Linked DNA regions of Caenorhabditis elegans. The protein of the gene in region 1 interacts with the protein of each later gene in a pairwise test. Each region holds a gene or a part of one and is shown on either strand. Other genes may lie near its edges. The genes, in order: brd-1, tac-1 and ubc-9.

Region 1 (8,847 bases):
GGGTGTAGATTTTATTTCAACTTTTTGTTTTGTTTCAAACTCAATTGTCAACGAAAAGCCCCCTTCATTTTCATAATCTCTGGGACAAAAAATATTTGTATAAAAACGGTTACTGTGTTCCACCTCTGCTTCATCTGAACTATGTTCTCTGCATCGAATAAAAATTTGTTTAGTTGTTATATCATATTTTTATACTTGTATAAAACTTTTGTTAGTGTGAGAAAATAAACATGCCAAAGTACGTAAAACTGTTAGAATTCACTAATATTCCCAAATTCGAAGAGCATTTTAGATGATTATAAAAATCTCATTATGACAACGAACAAATTTAGTCTTGCTGTAGGTATGAAGCAGGCGTAGGCCCTCTTGAAAACATTTACGCAATTTAATTTTAAAAAAACCTTAGCACTTCATTCATATACAAAATTGTTTTGGAAAATTTATTTATCCATTCAATTCTCAATTTCCAAGTAATCACGCAACACTTGAGGCACGTTGATATGATTCCTTTTCTCCGAGTAAAAGCCATGCTGTGTTCCGCCCGAAAACAAATACATAAAAGGTTTATATTGTAGACGTTGGCTGAAACATGTCCTGATTTCACCTGCTTTCCTAGAGAAATGTTAACATCTCCACCTATTGCACAATGAGCCCATCTTCACCTACATTATCTGATAATAGGTAAAGAAGGACCACCTTGCACCTCTGTCATCATGATGATTTTTAGAGCATTATCATCATTTCTAGTGGGTGTGGTCTACAGTAAAAGAGCCCAAAGAATATCAGTTTGAGTCAGTATTCATACTTTATTCCTTCTCTCTATCACTATGGCTTATCCGTACCCAGTTTTCAATGCTGAAAATGTCTTTGACAATACCCAGCAACAAGTTGGATTCTATGATTATTCAACTCCATTCAATGGTACATACTCCTTCACTACTGACTATTCTTATTATAATAACTACTATGACTATGTCAATACTTATGCTTCTTATTATCCAACTGCAATGGATTCTTCATCTTTAAATATTTCACCAACTACTGGAAGTCCTAATTCTTCCCATTTCACCACGTTTACTCATTTTTCTACTCCATCTACATCTCCATCTACCTCTACTCAAAGTTCAACTCCACCGAGCAATTCTGATAATAAGAAGTCATTTCAATGCTCAAATTGTTCAGTAACTGAAACAATTCGTTGGAGGAATATTCGATCAAAGGAAGGAATTCAATGTAATGCTTGTTTTATTTATCAACGGAAATATAATGAGACTCGTCCAGTCACTGCCGTTAACAAATATCAAAAAAGAAAATTAAAGGTACAGGAAACGAATGGTGTAGATTCTTCTTAATGTAAATTGTATCATTGTAAATTGTATAACTCAATTGTAATTTTCTTGTTTTAAGCCGGTAAATTGTTTTTAATTAATATGATCTCATAACTTATATTTATATCTTGTTCTCGATTTTAATTACATCATAACTTTAATTGCATGGATTGGATGCCGTTGTGTATAAAATAACACTTCAAAAAATAATCATTCATATTGCAATTTTACAATAGAAACGCAAAAGAAAATATTTTAAAACGGAAAATGGTTAATGTGGTGGTGTTGTGATGGAGCATCCAAGAATCGCCTCTATTAACCACTGCTCGCTGACAAGATTGTACTTTGTGCAGTCGCGGAATTTGTCTCCTATCTGTAAAGAGAAATAAAAATGTCACCAAACTGAAACTACCGAATCCATAATAACAGGAAAACTCCTTCGTTAAACTTACATCATGTGTCAAGCTGTAGAGCACAAAGTTTGGTTTCAAGTTGGCATTATGGTACGGCGGTGGATCTTTTTCGTCAATAATGGGCTCCCTCGCTGCAGCTTGACCACCGGCAGATCGAATAATTTCAAAAAGAGCTGGGCGATCTGAAATTGAAAATTGAAAAAATTAAAATACTGTAAATTAGAATCGTACCGAGGAAGTTATACTTTGGCTTTGGAATGAAAAATTTGCAACCGGCGAACAATTTTGGTTGCTGAAAAATTTGGTTGTATTTTTTTCTTTAGTGGAAATCAAATCCGTACCATTTTAGTGATTGTCTTCTTCCATTGTTCAATAGTATTTTCAAATACTTCACCTTCCATCCATCTAACTTTCTGAACCATATAAGAACGATCATCATCGACTTTCGATGGATCAATAATGCACGCTCTCAGCCAATCTCGACTAACTATCATTCCCGATCTGAAAGTATGAATTTCCGCTTTGAAATTTCATATTTTCACATAGATTTTTTTGGCTCTCATACTGCACCCTTGCGATTGTTTGCAATTTTCCCATGGGATCAGTCTATAACTAGACAGGGAAACGCATTTTATAATACAATCGAGCCACTGTGAAACTGAAATGAAGGTGTTTCTGGTGAGTTATATACTACTTTTGCTAATATTCAAAACTAATTTTGCAGTGTTTCCTTCTTCTTCTTCTTTCAATTTATGTTAATGCAAAGAAAGCAGAATGTCGAACTGATTCGGATTGCTCGGATAATAGGCTTTGTGTTTATGGACAATGTCTTTTTTCAAATCATGCAAGTGGTGGAGTTGTTATCACTGACGAAAATGCTGATGAACCTTGTACTTTTGACTGTCCAGTTGGAAAAAAATGTGTGGCAGGAGCCTGTGTTCGTGCCTAATTATCTTTTTATCTCCAATAAATATGTAATGCATTGCGACCTGATTTGAAGGAATGATAGAAAATAGACCATAATTACCGAATATAACTGTTAAAAAATTATTTCAGCTTTGGAAAAATAATAAGTTCTGATTAGTTTTGAACTCTCGTGCAAATGAATGGCTAAATTCGAACGCTTTTCGTGATTTTTGCTTGATGTTCCGAAGATTGTCAGATTTTCATAAATTTTTTAAGCAAAAAAAAAGATGAATAAATGTGAAATTATCGACTTTCAATTCAATTTTGAAGTTTCAGCGAATTTCTTTCTGATTATCATGCGTTTTCTTACGAACAAATGCCTTCCATTTATTTGCGCGAGAATTTAAAAATAAGTAGCCCATTTTTTGAAAAATTTCGAAAAAATTAATTTCTTAACAGCTATAGTCTGTCATTACGGTCTATTTTCTGACATTAAAAATCCCAAAATGACTATCTCCCACTTTTTAGGATAATTTTAAAAACCTACTTTATGATAGCTTTTAAAATTTCTCCAATATGCTCCTTGTTAATATTGAGCACACGAGTTTTCAAATCAACGGTGACTACCACATGCGTCGGAGAATCCATATCAGCAGGAACTATCTGAATAAATTTATTTTATTTTTAAAAATTAATTGTTTTTACATTGATTTTTCCGGGAAGTTTTCGTTTTTCAGATTCAGTGAGCATCTTCTCATCTATGAGTTGAACGAAATGAAGACGAGATTTTGGAGGGGCGACGACTGAAAATTCAATTTTTATCACGAAGAATAAAATTGTCAAAAAATTTCTTACCAGGCTGTAAAACTCTCTGTTCAGTCTTGAATTTTTCGATTATTTTCCTAATTTTCGGATCACTTTTAGCCATTTCTTCGACAGTTTTTCCAGCAATATTTCGAATTTTGATGCTGGCACCTTTCGATAAAAGATATTCAACAATTTGAGTATTTTGACGGCGAACAGCCTCGTGAAGCGTTGTTTCTAATGTTGAGCCGCCTGAATTCTTCGTCAAGAAAGTTGATAGAAGTTGTTTCTTACATGAAGCATTAATAACTGCACCCGCTTCAACAAGTATCTTAACAGCTTCCAATGAGCTATTCTCAACTGCCACGTAAAGTGGTGTCTTTCCGTCTTCTTTCTCATTTACGCACGTTCCTGCCTCTACAGCACTTCGAAGTTGAGGAATACGATTATTGCGAATTGAATTGACCAGGACAGCTTCACCACGACGAGTACCATAAGAACTGCGACGCTGAACATTTAAAAAATTGCAAAAAGTTTGCGAAAATGTGAAAATTGGAATGAAGGCGTAGAGATCAAGTTCAATTTTCAAAAAAAAAAGTCAAGCCACCTAGGGGACTCGAACCCCTGACCTTAAGATTAAAAGTCTCACGCTCTACCAACTGAGCTAAGGAGGCCATGCGTGCTGTGATGCAAAGACTTGTTAAGTAAGGGACAGAGGCGCAGACAACAAGATAATGTGGACGTTGAGCGTGACAGAGTAGAAAGACGAACGCCCGAAAACTCTTTTATTGAAGTCACTCACTTGCTCTGATTTCACACTCATCGACTTCTCTCCAAAACTCATCGGTGATTGAGATCGTCGTTCGATTTTATCGGATTTAATCGAATTTTTACGACTTCTAGACGTCGATGGTACTTCTTCTGGTTCTTCAGGTTCCAATTTTGGTTGTTTCTTGGCGCTCGCACTCATTGAAGCTTGCCGTTTTGTGAGAGGAATCGCTTTCGAGAAAATATCTTCTTCGATAATTTCGGCTTTAACTGGATTACTGCTACTTCCGAAAGCTTGAGCATACGTTGCAACACCAGTTGCTGCTGGAGCAGTTGAGCGACGCTGAAGAATTTCCGTTAAAGTTCTGAAGCGTCTTTAAAGTGAAATTGTCATACCTCAATAAACGGCGTCAGTAAATCATTTTGATGAGTTCTCTGCGGAACTTGCGATGCAAAAAGATCAACTACAGGCGCAGCCGGTTCATTTTTGACGGAAGTTTTCAGTATCGATGACCTTTTGGGTTTTCTCTCATGAACACTGACAGTTGAAGGGCGTTTTGTCGAATTACGCGTTCTAAAAGTAAATAAAATTCAATTAATTGAAGCAATGTAACAAACTCACGGAGAAGCTTCTTTGCTGTAGTCGTGGAATATATCCAATTCTGGAGAGTTTGAATTTTCCCTGAATTTACTGGGAAAATATGAAAAAAAGTTCTGCGTTCGGGGGGAATCGAACCCCCGTCGAATGCTTGGAAGGCATCCATGCTGACCATTACACCACGAACGCGGCATGGGAAACCAGCTATTAAATGAAGAGACATTTCTACTTGAAGCCACCAAATAGACCGCATCAGGTTTGTAGAAGAAGCATGACGGGAATCGTTTTCTCGGAAAGATATCCCCGATATGTCGCGTTCGTGGTGTAATGGTCAGCATGGATGCCTTCCAAGCATTCGACGGGGGTTCGATTCCCCCCGAACGCAGATTTTTTCGACTTACCGGTTTTCATCTTTACACATCAAATCATCATCCTCTTCACCAAGTTGTCCCATCTCGTCTGGCATATGAGCTTGCGTCTCCAGGAATTTCTCTACGGCATCAGCTGGAGTTTTTTCTTTGTTAAAAATGTTTTGTGTACAGGCAAACTCTGCTTGAGTTAGAGATGTTGTTCCGACCTAAATGAGAATTTAATTTTCGAGCTTTTCACCATTGACTTACTTTCTGTAAAAGGTCGTTTAGTTCAGACAAAGTATCAAAGCACGTTTTCAGCATATGAGCTTCTGTGATTTTGGATGTGTCTAGTGGGAAAGCACAACTCGGACACATGTGTCGAGCCACTGAAGAGCGTTTTCCAGACGGTTTCTGTTGAAATGTGGCGATACATTCCCTGAACATAAACTGAAGTTATTGACAATTTATTAGGTTGCAATACCTACCAGCAATAAGCATGTTTGCAAGATGATCCGAGATATTGCAAGTCTCCCCTCGGTTTTTTGCTGAAATTTTATTTAAGAGGCAAAATCTTGTACAACAACTTACCATTTAACACACTCGATAGCTGTTCGAAACGTTTCCAATGCTTTTTTAGTGTTTTCAAACATTATTTGACGCTGAAACAATAATTAAATCAAACAGGAAAAGAATAAAATTCGAAAATCGCACTTGTTTGTTTGCGCGTCAGGTGTGGTGCGTGCGCACAGAATACATTTTATTTTACGAACAAAATATTTTACTTCTATTTCTTTTTCTTTCATTAAACTAAAATTACATTTATTTTTTGTGTTTTATAGAAAAATACAGTTTACTTGGTCTGGAAAATTCACGAGAATGATCCTCTCGTCAATTTATTCTCTTTTTAATTATAATTTTAAGTTTTAAGCATGAGACCGCCAAGTGAATTACTCGATATTATTTCAAAGCTTGCTGAGCTCGATCCATTAGTCAGAAAAGGAGCAGTTAGACAGCTTTCAAGCAAACAAGAGGTAGGAAAAAAGTAGCTGAAATAAATGCCTAATTAAAGTGTTATTTTTTTAGGAATTATCCGATAACGAGCTCAACACATATGTGATTGAACGTCTTATTTCTGGATGTGCTTCAGCTCGTGCTGCTGTTCGTTTGGGATATACAACCGCTTTGGGTACTATTTTAATGACAAAAGCAGGCGAATCATGGGAACTCGACAAAATATTGGCCGTTGCAGATAAAAAGATGGACCTGGCAGAAAAGGTTGGGATTGTAAGTTCCTTTATTTGTACTAAATGTTTCGATTCAGACTGTTGGTACCGGACATGCAATTGGACATTATCTTATTCTTGTCACATATTGTCAAACCAGAAAACTCAAAGAAGCAGAAGCTACAAAAATTGTTGAGCATTCGAAGAAAATCAGAGACTTTGCTCCAAGCTTGGCATTTTCACAGATTAACCTTCTATGCAGTTTGGCTACAAAGACAAAAGAAAGTGTTTTCCAAAAGGTAAATCAATTTACTGTTTGAACAAAAACAAATCTATATTAATTTTTAAATTTCAGAGTGTATCCCCAGCCATCGAAATGAATTTGGAAGGTCTCAGCTCTCAGTTCACACCGGAAAATGTCTACCTGGCACTTCGCCTTCGTAATTCTCATTCAACAGTGGTTGCAAAATACGCAAAGTTTGTAAAGAAAGACGGATCTATTCAATTTTCTGATGATCAGTATCCTAAAATTTTGGCTGCTTTAAAGGTTAGTTTTCTATTTTAAAATTTTTATAAATACTTTATTTTCAGCGCTGTGACTTCGCCACAGTTCAAGTATTTCTTCCACTTCTCATCAAAGCATCAGTTGAATCATCTGGTTTTGATAAAATGTACCTGAGTAAGTTATACTTTTGAAAAGTTTTTTTTATAAATTCTCATTTTCAGAAGTTCTCGAGCCATGGGCCCTTTCAAGCAACGAGACGAAAGTTTTCGATAGAATTCTCACGATTGTCACTCAATTCTTTGATTTTGGAGGCGATGTGAAATCAATTGTTGTAGTATTTACTAAAGAAGTTTTGAATCGAATGGAGACCGCTACACGTGGAAAAGGACAATTCAGATTGATGAGTAAAAAGGTAATATTCAAGAGTCTTTATTGTTCAAATTTACAAAAATTAGTGAGATAGAAATTATCTAAAGGTAAACTGGCTTTTGTGATCGAATATGTCTCTGAATTTGTTTGATTGCTTTTCGGAGAAGAGCCTGGCAATCTTCCGGTACTGAAAAAAGATTTTTTAAAACTCAAGCTTTCTTCTAAACATCGAAAACATACATTTCTTGCATTGTTGTGTAAGTTCCTCATTTTCCACACAATATTCGGATGTTATTTCACACTCGATAGAACATAAATCGAGTACAGGAAGCCAGACAGCATCAGAAAATGGATCACCGCCTGTAAAAAAAGTGTTGGAACAATATTTAATTTCTTGTATCTTAAAAATGTATGCTGGTAAATTATGAAGAATTAATTCAGAAATCGTTTACAACATTTCTGAAATATACTATAAGATTATTCTTTTGTGTTATTACATAATACAGATTAAATTTGAATTTAAATTGATTTTCTAACTTACATAATTTAGAGTTATGAAACAAAAACTGTGAAACCGATTCGTACTGAATCCGCCTTTTAGACGCTTGTCCATTGATTGCCGCGATCAGAAAAATTCCGATAATAATTGAGCATTTTGTCATTTTGAGTTCCAAATTTAGTATTGCCAAAGTGATGAAAAACTAATACGTAGTTCAACAAAAAGATGAGAAATAGATGAAAGAAAGAAGAAAAAGAAGAAGCATTGTTCATTGAATACCACAATGAACTGTGTAAAGTAACGGGATTCTGGGTGTAATACAGATAGTTCTTTCTATAAGATGATGACACATTAACGACGACCTCATTATATCCATACATATTGTTTTATTTGGATTACGAGTTAGATTTAGAATGTTAGATTTATGAGAGATTGCAGCGATATTTGAGAGACAGGAATGTTGAAAATTGATTATCATTCGAACTTTTTAACACGAAAATATTGAATAATATTATTAAAAGTATACATTCGAACAAAGATTTTAAACTAAAGAAAATTTCGATACTGGCTTAGCTAGGAAATTAAATTTACTTTTAACAACAAAAAAAAAACACATTTCAAAATAATATCTTCATTTTACAGGTGGATGACTTCGCTGCATTCATCCAATCCAAACTTTCTGAACTTCGTGATGAAGAAGCCTATACTGCTCTGAAAGAGCTCGAAAAGTGCGGAAATGTGGACAAGGCCTGTGGTACCGGCCTTACGACCGCCCTACTTTCAAATCTTGGAAAGAAGCAGATCTCTGTGTGGATTAAGGTAGAAAAAGAACTGACGGTTCAATTTCAGCATATAGATTTTTCAGGAAAATCTCTCCAACCAAGATGAAGTTCGGAAGATCGTCTCTGCATTCAGTAACTGGGATGAAAAATCACGAATCACAGTTCTCTCTGCTCTTTTGTCGCAGAAGGCAACTGAAACCAGTCAATCTGTTGTTACCAGCATTATTGATTCACTTTTCTATGTCAAGGTTTGTTCATTGTTTGTTTGAAGTTGAAGTAAAAAATTATTCCAGACTCGT
Region 2 (5,445 bases), on another chromosome or scaffold:
CCGGCAAATCGGCAAACCGGCAATTGCCGAATTTCTCAACAAAAAATTTGCCGAAATTGAAAATTTCTGGCAAATCGGCAATTTGTCGAAAATGAAAATTTCCGGCATATTGGCACACCGGAAAATTGTCGGAACTGAAAATTTCCGGCAAATCGGCAAATTGCCGGAATTGAAATTTCCGGCTAATCGGCAATTTGTCGAATTTGTTGGCGAAAATCCGTCCACCCCTGATCTCATTAATTTAAATGAAAAACTAATTTCGTGGCAAGACCTTTACAGAACTTTTCGTGCGCCTTTAAACCAATTTTTCCGATTTTTTGTGTCTAAAATGCTTCCTCACATCACTCATCGCAGTGGAATCATCGAATCGTCCACCTCGAACCTTCGGAAGGCCTTCCATAATCGAAAAACTGTACATTGGCTGACAATCCAAGAAAATTTGATGATTTACAATATAAATATCGATTTGAATTGTTTGATGTCGTGATTGTTCGTTGGCTTCTCGAGAAACTGGCCGAAAAACGTATTCCCTGTACATTTGACGTGAATTATTCCCTGCCAACATGCTCAGCAATGTGGATTTTCCGGCGCCCTGCGGCCCGATCGCAGAGATAACGTTGAAGTTGGGGCTCGATGTGAGGAGATCCTGGAAAAATTACAAATGCGCTCCACGGTCAACTCCACCCCCGAATAATGGGTCTCGTTAGTTGTTTGGCGGCGAAACCGTAATTTTAAAAATTTTCAAGTTTTTCGTTTTTTTGTTTTTGAACTTTTTCAAGCTATTTTTCGTAATTTTTTTGTCAATTTTCAAGGATTTTTCGACCTTTTTTTGTCGATTTTCAAGCATTTTTTGTAATGTTTTTTTCAATTTTCTAGCAATTTTTGTAATTTTTTTGTGTCAATGTTCAAGTAGTTTTCGTGCTTCTTTCTTCAATTTTCAAGCATTTATCGTGTTTTTTTTTACATTTTCAAGAATTTTTTTGTAATTTTTTGTCAATTTTCAAGAATTTTTCGTGTTTTTTGTTTAACATTTTCAAGCAATTTTTGTAATTTTTTTTGTCAATTTTCAAGCATTTTTCGTTTTTTTCGTCGTCTTCTGTTTTTTTAATGTGTTGAAATTTTTTGTTGAAATTATAAATGATAAATGCTTGAAAACTGTCAAAAGGGACGAAAAATGCTTAAAAAATTGACAAAAAATACGAAAAATGCTTTAAAATTAGCAAGAAGCACAAAAAACTTAAGAAATTTGACAAAAAATGCTTCAAAATTGAGAAAAAACACAAAAAATGCTTCAAAATTGAGAAAAAGTACGAAAAATGCTTGAACATTTTTCAAATTAATTTTTAAAATTTTGGAAGCATTTGAATTTACGAGCAAACCCTAACGAGACCCATAGTTCGGTGGAGCGCGTTTTCACGTCTCCAATTTCAAGAAGCCATTTTTCTGCGTCTCCATAATAAATTATTAAAATAAAAAACACACTGAAATCGCATCGGAAATCTCTCCGAAATCCGTCAAAAATCGCACAGACTCCTTCATCGCTTTTTGCGATGGCTCGATGACCGTAGCGGCGGTAGGCGCCACGTCATCGGCCACCGGACGTGTTTTGATGGCGATTTTCGGTGCTCCATGAGTTGGGCTCGCTGTGGAGGGTCGGGCAGCGCCTCCTGCAGATGATGGCCGAGATGTTTTCAGAATTTCCACTTTTTTCATCTGGAAAATTGCAAGATTTTAATAGAAATTTTGAAAGTTTTGCATACATTTTAATCAAAAAATTCGCTCAAAATCCATGCGGCAGTCTGAAAAGAGGTGTGCGCCTTTAAAGATTACTGTAGGAATTTTATTGACTTTTATTACAAAAACCTCGTAACAACGCATAAATTGTTTGGAAAAACAAGTGAGAACTAAAAAAATCAAAACAAATTCGGCCTGGAAATTACAGTACACTTTAAAGGCGCACACATGCTTGCATTTGGCAAATGTTTTTCGTGTCGAGACCGGGCGCTGTATCTTTGGCGCGAAAATTTAGAAGATTGTAGTTTTTCTCGGTAAAATACTGAAACGAAGCCTTTTGTACTTGTTTCTCATACAAATAATCTGGAAAACAAATAAATAAGCTGAAAAATTCATGTACAATTAGAAAATATAAGGCGGAAAGCGAAAAGGCGGGGGGAAGAAATATTATATTTTACAGAAATAAATTATGCATCCGTCGAAATAACGGACATCCCATCGGAAACGTCGACATCATTCAGAAGTTGATCGCAAATCTGTGAGAGCTCCGACACGCGGTTCGTGAGCACCTTGATCTCGTCGTTCTTGCTGGAGAGCTCGATTTCCTGGCGTTTTACACGCAGACGGAGTCCCTTTGTGTTCTCATCGTGGGATCGGAGAAGATCGTCGTACTCCACGGATGCTCTGAATTGAAATATATTCTTACATGTTGCAAATTAAATTTTCTCTCACTCACCTCTCAAGCTCAGAATTCGCATTATCCTTGACGGCGAGGAACTTTGCCTGCCACTCGTCAACTTCGGCGGCGGCGAGCTTCAGCTTGTCCCTCGCGTCCTCGTACTCGCCGCGGATGTCGTTGGCGGCTTCGCGAACCGTGTTGAACGAGGCGAACAGTGTCGCGTAGTTGGCGTGGAGCTTGTCGGCTTCGGCACGGGCGGCATCTCGATCTTTCAGCGCTTTTTCGAGCTCCTCGCTTGATGCCCCGCCGCCTCCGATGCCGTTTCCTGGCGTTGTTCCGTTGCAGCGGCCTTGTGAGATGATTTGGCCGTTTGAGCAGCGACGGACTTCGAATTCTGAAATTAATATGGTTTTATTCCTCTTAAAATCTCTTTTAGCAATTTTTCAAAGCTTCTCACCATCCGAGTGCAAGAGCCGCTCGATCAACTCTGTGAGCGCCTTCGTCGTGTGCTTCATCACAATGATGTCGCCTCTCGTGGCACCGCACAGTGTCTCCACTGAAGAACTGGGCTCCGCGGCTTCTTCAACCTCTGGCTCCTCGTTCTCCGGATGCCCATTTTGCGACCCGTTGAATGGGATGACGACCTCGGTTCCGTCCTCTTTGGTGAAGGTTGTGTTGAGCGACATCTGAAAATCGGATGAATTTAATAGAAAAAACCGACATTTTTCGTGAAAAACGGAGAAAATTAACGATTCTTCAGTTTTCCCGCGTCATCATTTATTTTCGTGGTAGGAAAATTGTTTTGAAGATTAGTATGCGCCTTTAAAACTTCTGTAGTTCAATTTTCTTGTTTTACAAGGCTTTACAAGAGGGTTTCAAAATAATTGAAACAAATTTTTAATTAAAAAAGTCATTTTTTAATTTTTAATTCAAAAAAAATCAGTAAAAACCATAACCAACAACAAAAAAAGCACGAAAAAAGAGTCCACAAGAGTAATCGTGGCGGGAAAATCAATACAAAAATTGGACTGCGCCTTTAAAAAGTACTGTAGAATTTTTTTAAAAACATTTTTTGTTATCTTTCAATTTTCAATGTTTCTCTTCATTTTAAACTATTTTAATGATTAAAAACACATCTTTATTGCGAAAAAAATTAATATAATACACTTTTGCATAAAAAACCGCCAAATAAAAGTGCAGTTGGCCTAGAAAGCGCTAGGTCAGAGAAGGGAAGCGGCCAGGACCTTATTTTGTTCATTTTTATTAATTTTCACCTTAAAACAGAGAAAAAAACAAAAATATTTGGCAATTAAACAAAATAGAAATTAAAAGTAATTAAAACTTAAAACTTCAGAAAAAAATCGATTTTTCAAAAATTGCGAAATTTTGAACAATGTTTGAACATCCTTCTCTCTTGAAAAATATAGTTTTTCATTTTAATTTTAATTCTAATTTTACAGCTGCCAAACTAGGTACAAAATGGATCTTCTCAACTATATCGAACGAATTGGAGATGGTTAGTTAGCTTTTTTTCCATTTTTTTATTAAAAAAATTTTTACCAGATGTTTTTTCAGATCCACCCTCACCATCACGGGTAGCAAGCTTCCACCAGGAAATTCAAATTCGATTTCCATCGGAATTTCTAGAATGGTCGAATTGTGAAGCTGAACAAGAAGGTTTTTCAGAAGCTCCAGAAGCTCTTTCCCTACCCCAAGTGCCTTCTACCTCGGGCTCTGGGAGCATTTTTCAGCCGATTGCTGACACATTGCTTATATATTTTCCAGATACGTTTGAGGTTGATTTTCGGCTAAAAAATCAAGTTTCTAACCTATTTTCCTTCAGACAATATCCCAAAACCTTCTACAAATGTTGTGCTCGACACGTTCCGATATGGATCTACAGGGCGAGCTCATCGATCTTCTCGGCGTCGAATTGTTCGAATTAGCCGGAGATATACTCGAAAAACGGAATAAAATAGTTTTCGAGGTGAAGAGCCAGGAGCTGGCGAAAGTTGAGCATGCGAGGCAGGCGAAGGCGAAGGTAATAGTTTTGAAAATTTTAAAAATTTGCTCTAAATGGCAGAATATAACAGTGAAAAAATTTATAAAAATTTTCTAATTTTTTTTTGATTTTTTGAATTTGGTTTTCTGGCTGTTTTTTTTATTTTTTTTCCATTTTTTACAATTTGGAACATAATTTGTCAATTTTTCGGACATTTTTCCACAAAAAACGTTTTTCAAAAATTAAATTATCGATTTTAGGCTAATTTTAGAGTTTCAACAAGTTTTTTACGGAAAAATTTCTGAAAATTTTATAAATTTTGTTTAAAATTGTGACATAACGAAAAATAAAGAAAAACCAGATAAAACAGTCGGAAAACGCAAAAAAGGCCAAAAAGACCAAAAAGCCAAAATCAGGCCAAAAAAAAGGTCAAAAGAACTGATTTTTTTTGAATTCCAGAGTAAAAAAAGTGACGTCACTTTCGCGTTCTCTGACTTTAATTGATTTTTCTTCAATTTTTCAGCAAATTTCATTACGAAAGAATGTCTGAAAAATCCACAAATTATGTTTCAAGTTATAAAACAGAGAAATATCAATTAAAATAGCCGGAAAAACGCAAAAATGTCGAAAATGACGTCACTCGCTTTGCGCGGGAATTTAAAATTTAATAATATTTCTGTTTAGCCCTTTTTATTTTTGTTTTCAAAATATAAAAAATCATGACAAAAATTTAGAAAAAAAAAATTAAAAAACAACAAAAAAGATTTTCGCAAAAAAAAGCTCATATTTATTCGACCTGAATACAGTTCTTAAAAAACGAGATTGCCAACGCCAAAATGATGACCAACGAGGCTGAATATCCGATTCCTCCCTGAACACAACGATCATTGCAAATCACGAATTCGGACAATGTTCTGTGACGTTTCACATAGCGAATTGCGGTTGTATTCGTTTTTCCTCCGGATTTTCTAATCGATGCACCATGAGCTCCATTCGTTTTCGGTGGCTTGATTTCTACAAATTCCTGGAA
Region 3 (5,827 bases), on another chromosome or scaffold:
TTTTGAACGGTTTTTGAATAACAAGTTGAACTGTCGTCGCCCCTTGTTCTGACTTCAAGTACCTGTAACTTTTCTCAATTGAAAAAAAAGTTAATAAAATCTATGCCTTTTGCGCTTGTTTTTCAAAAACTTGTCACCTGTTTTCCAAAGGTTTCCATAGCGACCCTGCTTTCTAAAAGTTCTATGCTCCGATAACCTCATTATTTTTTGACAAACCTATATTTTTTTCAATCTTATTTTTCCCTACGACTTGATCAGCTTAATTCCTAACCAATACAATTTCAGAATGTCAGAAGAGACACTCGATTTCAGTGGGTCGATGCCTGAGGAGGTGCAAACTCTTCTCACAAATTCGGAGATGGATCCAGGACTTTTGTCGAATGAGACAGCAACCACGATGATCACAGATGTGATTAGTACAACCACAACCACATTGGGTAAGTTTTAGATTACCTAGTTTTGCCGACGCTGTGTTTTTCTTAACGGAAAATAGTCCTCTGTACGAGCTCGATGCATCGAATTTGACGTGCAAGTTTTATACCAACAGTATTGTTGACCGCGTTATTCAAGAACTGGAAGCCAGAAACTTTCAACAAAGTTTTTTCTAACTATTCAATTTTCAGCCCCCGTCCTTATCGGCTACCAACCTAACCCATTCCGCATTGGACTCCTCGCCTTCAAATGCCTGCTCATTATCCTAATCTTCACTTTATCCTGTACGATTCGTAAGGACTTCTTCAAGTTCTTCGTTCTCTTCCTTATCATCCCACTGTTTATCGAAGCTGGATTTGATATCTTCACCGAGATTCACGCCAGTACAGCGATCTTTGGGGCTCAGTGAGTTTGAGAAGCATTTCTTTGAACATATTCATTATTATTCAACTAGTTTTCAGACAGTTTGACTGGCAATACCTAAACCTTTCACCACGAGCGAACGACACTGTGACTGATTGGCAGAAGTGAGCTAATTTTAGATTTTACATTTGTCATACAACCAGTTTTCTATTTTTTAGGTATGCCGTCGACGGGTTCGGAGAGATCCTTCAAAAGTACACAACTTACCAGGTGTACACGTAAGATCGTTGAGTAGATCTAAAAGATTTTAATGACATAGATTCCAGGAAGGATCAACTCTTCTCGATCGTATCCTATGTCGCCGGTGATTTTATCTTCTGGAGTCTGCTCTTTTCGACTTACACGGTCTTTTTCTTCGCTCACAAGGCGATTGCACGTCCAGAGCAGATCACTTACGAGCCGATTGGGTAGGTTTGTTTTGCTAGGAAAGCTTCCACGATGTACAGGCGCTTAGGCATGCCTAGGCAGTCGCAATTTTTACCAGTTTTCTGGAGCACATCCCAGCTTGCTGGTGTGCTTCTCCATCTTTCTGGCACACTTCTCCTCCACTCAAAAGCAGTCAAACTTCTTTATAACGCACTTAATCCCCTTTTCTTACAAATAAAAAAAACAATTTAAAAAAAAACAATTTTCAGCAGTGTCTTCTTCAAGGCTCAAATCACTCCGGTAATCTTTACCGCCTTTGACACTCTCATCTCGATCTACCAAATTCCACAATGGGCTTATCTCAGCATCATTTCCAGCATCAGACTCACTGCGTGTATTGTCTCCTTCGGCATCGTCACCCAGATGTTCGCTGTGAGTTTCAGATGTCTTTCAGTACTAGAAGCATAGAATTGATTTCAGAGTCTCTTCTTATTCTGCAGAAGAAAGGACGAGGTGACGAAGACTTCTCCATATGAGCACGTGAGAAACAGCAAACTCCGTTTGTTCTTGTTCCTATTATTCAGTATCTGTGTTCATGTGCTTACGGCTCCTTATCTCAGTAAGTAACAGTTAGCAGACCTAGTGAAACCTTAGATCCTTTCAGTCTGGTCCGGATTGACCATCGCTTTTGACGTCGGTCAGCTTCTCGGCTTCAACTGGTACCTCCCAATGCACTTTGCTTCCGAGATGTTCCCACTTCATCTGACCTTCTTCTTGCTCAGACCCTTTATCTTCCTAATTCTGGCTCTGATCCTCCTCAACCCATACCGCCGTCGTTTTGTCAAATTCTTCTTCCCGTGTTGTAGAAGACATTAGGAACGATCTTTTATTTTTTTTCTGTAATTATTGCTTCCAACTCTTCTTTTTTGCGCCATAATTCTAAACCCCTGTGCCATTGGGCGCCCCCTCAGAAGCCCGGTGCTCCTTCGTTTTTTCTTTGTTTTGTTTTTTTTCAAATCGGAAATATCGCTCTCTCAGAAATTGTGATAAATAGTACACGTTTTACACGTTCCATATGTGCCTTGCCTTACAATTAAAAAATGAATAAATTTTTTTCAAATTTAAATCATTCTTATTTTTACGATGAGTTCGAAAAGTGGTGTTATAGAGTTTCCGGAAGACAAGTGAGTTTTTAATTTTTATTTATAAATTTAAATTTTTGACTCTTTGAAGCAAATTTGTGCATACAAATATGGCTGATTACACTACGGAATTGCTTGATGGTAGTGAGTCAACTACAAAGAGTACAGCAACAGACGAACCACCTAATCAATTGTTTTTGTCATCGTTGCTTTTCTTGAGCTCTGCGATTTGTTCTCTGTGAGCTCACTAGCTATTTTCTACAATTAAACAATAATGGAAAACCAAAATAAAATTTTATTCCAGATTCGCAGCTTCAATTCTAGTTCGTAGTTTTCCATTTTTCGGTTCTACTCTCTCTTTGGTGATCATTCTAGTAACTAGGTTGGCTTTGTTCATCAAGAAAAATAGATCTAATTGGAACATTTTCTAGAGAATGGAATAGGATATACGGTGGACTTTTGAGTCCAAATCTGAAAGCAACAATCAACTATTCGACCGTTATGAGAGATCACAGGTACATCTGAATTCTAGAAAATCACCTATTGTATATATATCCTATATATAGGCATATATTTTGACACTTAAAATAATTAAATTTCCAACTTTCTAATTCAGAGAATACATTCCGTTATACGACATGGACTGGTTGTTCGGAGGAAGATACAAGCCGTACTATTATGGATGCACGGGACCTTCGAACAATCCGGACATGGAGAGAACGCCTGATGAGTGAGAAAAAAGTTTTTTATTTTTTGAAAACGTTATCATTTTTGCAGCCCCGGAAGTCGTTCGCCGACGAAAGAGCGCAAGGAAGGAGAGGTTTTGAAGAAGGATGACTGACTGGGCACTCTCATTCTCACACATTTTGCCGCGAATAAATATTATTTGAATTTCGCGCCCTTCGAATTTATAATTTTCTTGAATATTCTTTTGTGTGCGCGCGAAAACTGCGAACCGTTTTGTAATTTTCTGTTGCATTCTGTCGAAATTAGTTTTCGTGTGCGACACCATTGCGAAATCGCGCGCCGCACTATGCAATTTATTGATCGATAATACGGGCGGTGCTCGCCCCCCTTTTCGTTTTTTGGCGCGATATCCTATTTTTGAACTTTTTCGAGAAATTTCTCTTTCTTATCGATCGGATTTCTGTTTGAAAAATCTAAAATAGTTCTGACAAGTGTCACGAACACGCTGTTTCGTTTGTTTACCTCTCTCTTCTTTTCTCGTTGTGCCTAAAACTTCACTGTCCACTTCTCTTTTACAAATTTGATATTTTTCAGTGTAACCGAACAAAAATGTCGGGAATTGCTGCAGGACGCCTCGCGGAAGAAAGGAAACACTGGCGAAAGGTGAGAATTTTATCATTACATGGCAAGTCGGGGCGATTTGTATTACAAAACCGCTTTAAATCGGTTAAATTCTAAAAATTATCGAAAAATAGTTTGTTTTCATGCCCAAAACTCAACATTTTCAGGATCATCCATTCGGATTCATTGCCAAACCAGTCAAGAACGCCGACGGAACATTGAACCTCTTCAATTGGGAATGTGCAATCCCAGGGAGAAAGGATACGATTTGGGAAGGCGGATTATACAGAGTATGTGAAGCTAGAATTCGGAAATTATCATTTTTCGTTAATTTATTGAGCTATAATATTCGTGAACTGTTTCTCTCAAAAACTGCTATTTGGAATACAACGATATTTATAAATCTAATTCAATTTTCTTTCAGATTCGGATGCTCTTCAAGGACGATTTCCCGTCAACGCCACCAAAGTGCAAGTTCGAGCCACCACTCTTCCATCCAAATGTGTACCCATCAGGTTATTATTGCAGTCCAATAGTTATAATTAATTAATTGAATTCAGGTACCGTGTGCTTATCTCTTCTGGATGAAAACAAGGATTGGAAGCCGTCAATCTCAATCAAGCAACTTCTCATTGGAATTCAAGATTTGCTGAACCATCCAAATATTGAAGATCCAGCTCAGGCTGAAGCCTATCAGATCTACTGTCAGAATAGGTGAGTTTTTTTTATCTGAATATTATAAAAAAAATACACAAATGAATTTATTACAGGGCTGAATATGAGAAGCGAGTGAAGAAGGAAGCTGTGAAGTATGCTGCCGAACTCGTCCAGAAGCAAATGCTCGAGTAGATGCTTGCTTCGTGGTAGTCGTCTATTCTATTCTCCTTTTTCCTCCCATCCTCATTTCATTTAGTTAACTATTTCTGTATGCGGCAACGATTGTTGACACAACTCGAAATTCGAGCACCGAAGCAACTTTTCTGATATCTTTTATTTCAATCTAACCAAAAGCTTTGTCGTGCCTGGTTTTTCATTTCGTGGTTGATGAAATTCGAGAGCTAGAACATTTCGATGACTTTTTCCAAATTTCGTGTGCACGCAAACCCAATCATTTTCCACTGGTCCATGGGCTGAGTAGTCTTTATTCTTTCAAAAGACTATTCCTCATCATTCTTACTCATTTTGATCTTCATCTTTCTTTTTATCCCGTTCTGTTTTCCATCTCTTTTCTCTTCCCCCCAATTCTCTTAAAATCAGGAGCACAATTTAATTGTTGACAAATCCCGTGTATTCCAATTTTCTAAATGGACTTGATTATATTTTTTTTCCCTCAACTTATTTGTATTTTGCAACTCAACCATGAACTGTTCATGTCAGATTCTCCAACAATGTCCGAATTCATGAAAGGTGTGATGCTTCTGAAGCAAGACTTGACTGAAGTTCCTGCCGAAGAAGCTCTGAAGGGCAAGGTGGCGAAATATTAGTGTGTAGTGAAAGATTTTAGAATATGACATTTAGGTTGTTGCTCTTTATTTTTCCGCGGGATGGTGTCCACCGTGTAAGCAGTTCACTCCGAAGCTAGTTGTGAGTGCTGAATCTAGATTTTCCGATTTTCCAATGAGTTTCCACACCCTTCAGCGCTTCTACCATCATCTGAAGAAGGCTGGAAAGCCCATCGAAGTGGTTTTCTTCTCTCGTGATAGATCAAAGGCTGATCTTGAAGAGAACTTCACCGAGAAGCACGGCGATTGGCTCTGCGTCAAGTATGGAGACGACATTTTGACGTGAGATTTATCATTTTTAATTTCAGAGTCTCAAAAATAAATCATAATTTTCAGACGATATCAATCAAAGTTCGAGATCAAGACGATCCCAGTGCTCCGAGTGATCAACGCAGCCGGCAAGATGGTCGTTGTGGATGGGAAGTCGGAGGTCGTCGACAAGGGAAAAGCCGACCCACAGGGACTCTTCGCTGCGTGGGAGGCAGCATGCAACAAGTGAAAATGTATATAATTATTTTCCATTTATTTAAACATTTATCTAGTAATTTTTTAAATAGATTTTTCCTACTAATAAATAATTAATTATCACGTAAATATTTATATTTTAATAGTTTTTCTCTAGGTTTGCCCGCCCTAGATTGTACCTGCCACGTC

What was found.
Region 2: the proteins of brd-1 (region 1) and tac-1 interact in a two-hybrid assay, tested with the Caenorhabditis elegans proteins (2 studies listed by BioGRID).
Region 3: the proteins of brd-1 (region 1) and ubc-9 interact in binary tests that used the Caenorhabditis elegans proteins (3 or more experiments, as listed by UniProt).

The regions. Positions count from the first base shown.
Region 1 is NC_003281.10:6,883,676-6,892,522, forward strand, and holds brd-1 (BRCA1-associated RING domain protein 1), read right to left. Parts: upstream 5,830-8,847; 5' UTR 5,821-5,829; coding exon 5,759-5,820; intron 5,716-5,758; coding exon 5,656-5,715; intron 5,607-5,655; coding exon 5,438-5,606; intron 5,395-5,437; coding exon 5,219-5,394; intron 5,211-5,218; exon of another isoform or gene 5,128-5,210; intron 5,007-5,127; exon of another isoform or gene 4,916-5,006; intron 4,902-4,915; coding exon 4,842-4,901; intron 4,794-4,841; coding exon 4,616-4,793; intron 4,563-4,615; coding exon 4,254-4,562; intron 4,129-4,253; exon of another isoform or gene 4,041-4,128; intron 3,960-4,040; coding exon 3,746-3,959; intron 3,704-3,745; coding exon 3,503-3,703; intron 3,451-3,502; coding exon 3,353-3,450; intron 3,311-3,352; coding exon 3,195-3,310; intron 2,243-3,194; coding exon 2,083-2,242; intron 2,034-2,082; coding exon 1,973-2,033; intron 1,924-1,972; coding exon 1,781-1,923; intron 1,702-1,780; coding exon 1,600-1,701; 3' UTR 1,532-1,599; downstream 1-1,531. Other genes in the region: K04C2.7 (Polyprenol reductase), read left to right, coding at 1-8; med-2 (GATA-type domain-containing protein), read left to right, coding at 828-1,352; K04C2.2 (DNA polymerase V), read left to right, coding at 6,100-6,201, 6,254-6,445, 6,492-6,692, 6,749-6,940, 6,985-7,072, 7,120-7,310, 8,409-8,585, 8,632-8,796 and 1 more; K04C2.5 (INSulin related), read right to left, coding at 7,369-7,454, 7,508-7,627, 7,809-7,929. UniProt on the Caenorhabditis elegans protein: Constituent of the CeBCD complex that possesses E3 ubiquitin-protein ligase activity.
Region 2 is NC_003280.10:14,750,777-14,756,221, forward strand, and holds tac-1 (Transforming acid coiled-coil-containing protein 1), read right to left. Parts: upstream 3,102-5,445; 5' UTR 3,100-3,101; coding exon 2,871-3,099; intron 2,808-2,870; coding exon 2,471-2,807; intron 2,419-2,470; coding exon 2,202-2,418; 3' UTR 2,115-2,201; downstream 1-2,114. Other genes in the region: smg-9 (Nonsense-mediated mRNA decay factor SMG9), read right to left, coding at 341-646, 1,483-1,713; Y54E2A.4 (Activating signal cointegrator 1 complex subunit 3), read left to right, coding at 3,893-3,929, 3,989-4,209, 4,257-4,454; Y54E2A.5 (uncharacterized protein), read right to left, coding at 5,203-5,445. UniProt on the Caenorhabditis elegans protein: Involved in microtubule formation, polymerization and assembly, regulating microtubule nucleation and length. Plays a role in pronuclear migration and mitotic and meiotic spindle elongation during early embryogenesis.
Region 3 is NC_003282.8:4,647,400-4,653,226, forward strand, and holds ubc-9 (SUMO-conjugating enzyme UBC9), read left to right. Parts: upstream 1-3,644; 5' UTR 3,645-3,659; coding exon 3,660-3,713; intron 3,714-3,838; coding exon 3,839-3,961; intron 3,962-4,095; coding exon 4,096-4,186; intron 4,187-4,231; coding exon 4,232-4,385; intron 4,386-4,441; coding exon 4,442-4,520; 3' UTR 4,521-5,048; downstream 5,049-5,827. Other genes in the region: F29B9.8 (Serpentine Receptor, class T), read left to right, coding at 287-437, 624-837, 894-959, 1,014-1,073, 1,122-1,262, 1,491-1,653, 1,702-1,840, 1,886-2,097; F29B9.7 (Pheromone-regulated membrane protein 10), read left to right, coding at 2,365-2,405, 2,455-2,601, 2,668-2,745, 2,795-2,878, 2,980-3,093, 3,141-3,204; F29B9.5 (Thioredoxin domain-containing protein), read left to right, coding at 5,060-5,140, 5,190-5,255, 5,310-5,455, 5,510-5,672. UniProt on the Caenorhabditis elegans protein: Accepts the ubiquitin-like protein smo-1 from the aos-1-uba-2 E1 complex and catalyzes its covalent attachment to other proteins with the help of an E3 ligase such as gei-17.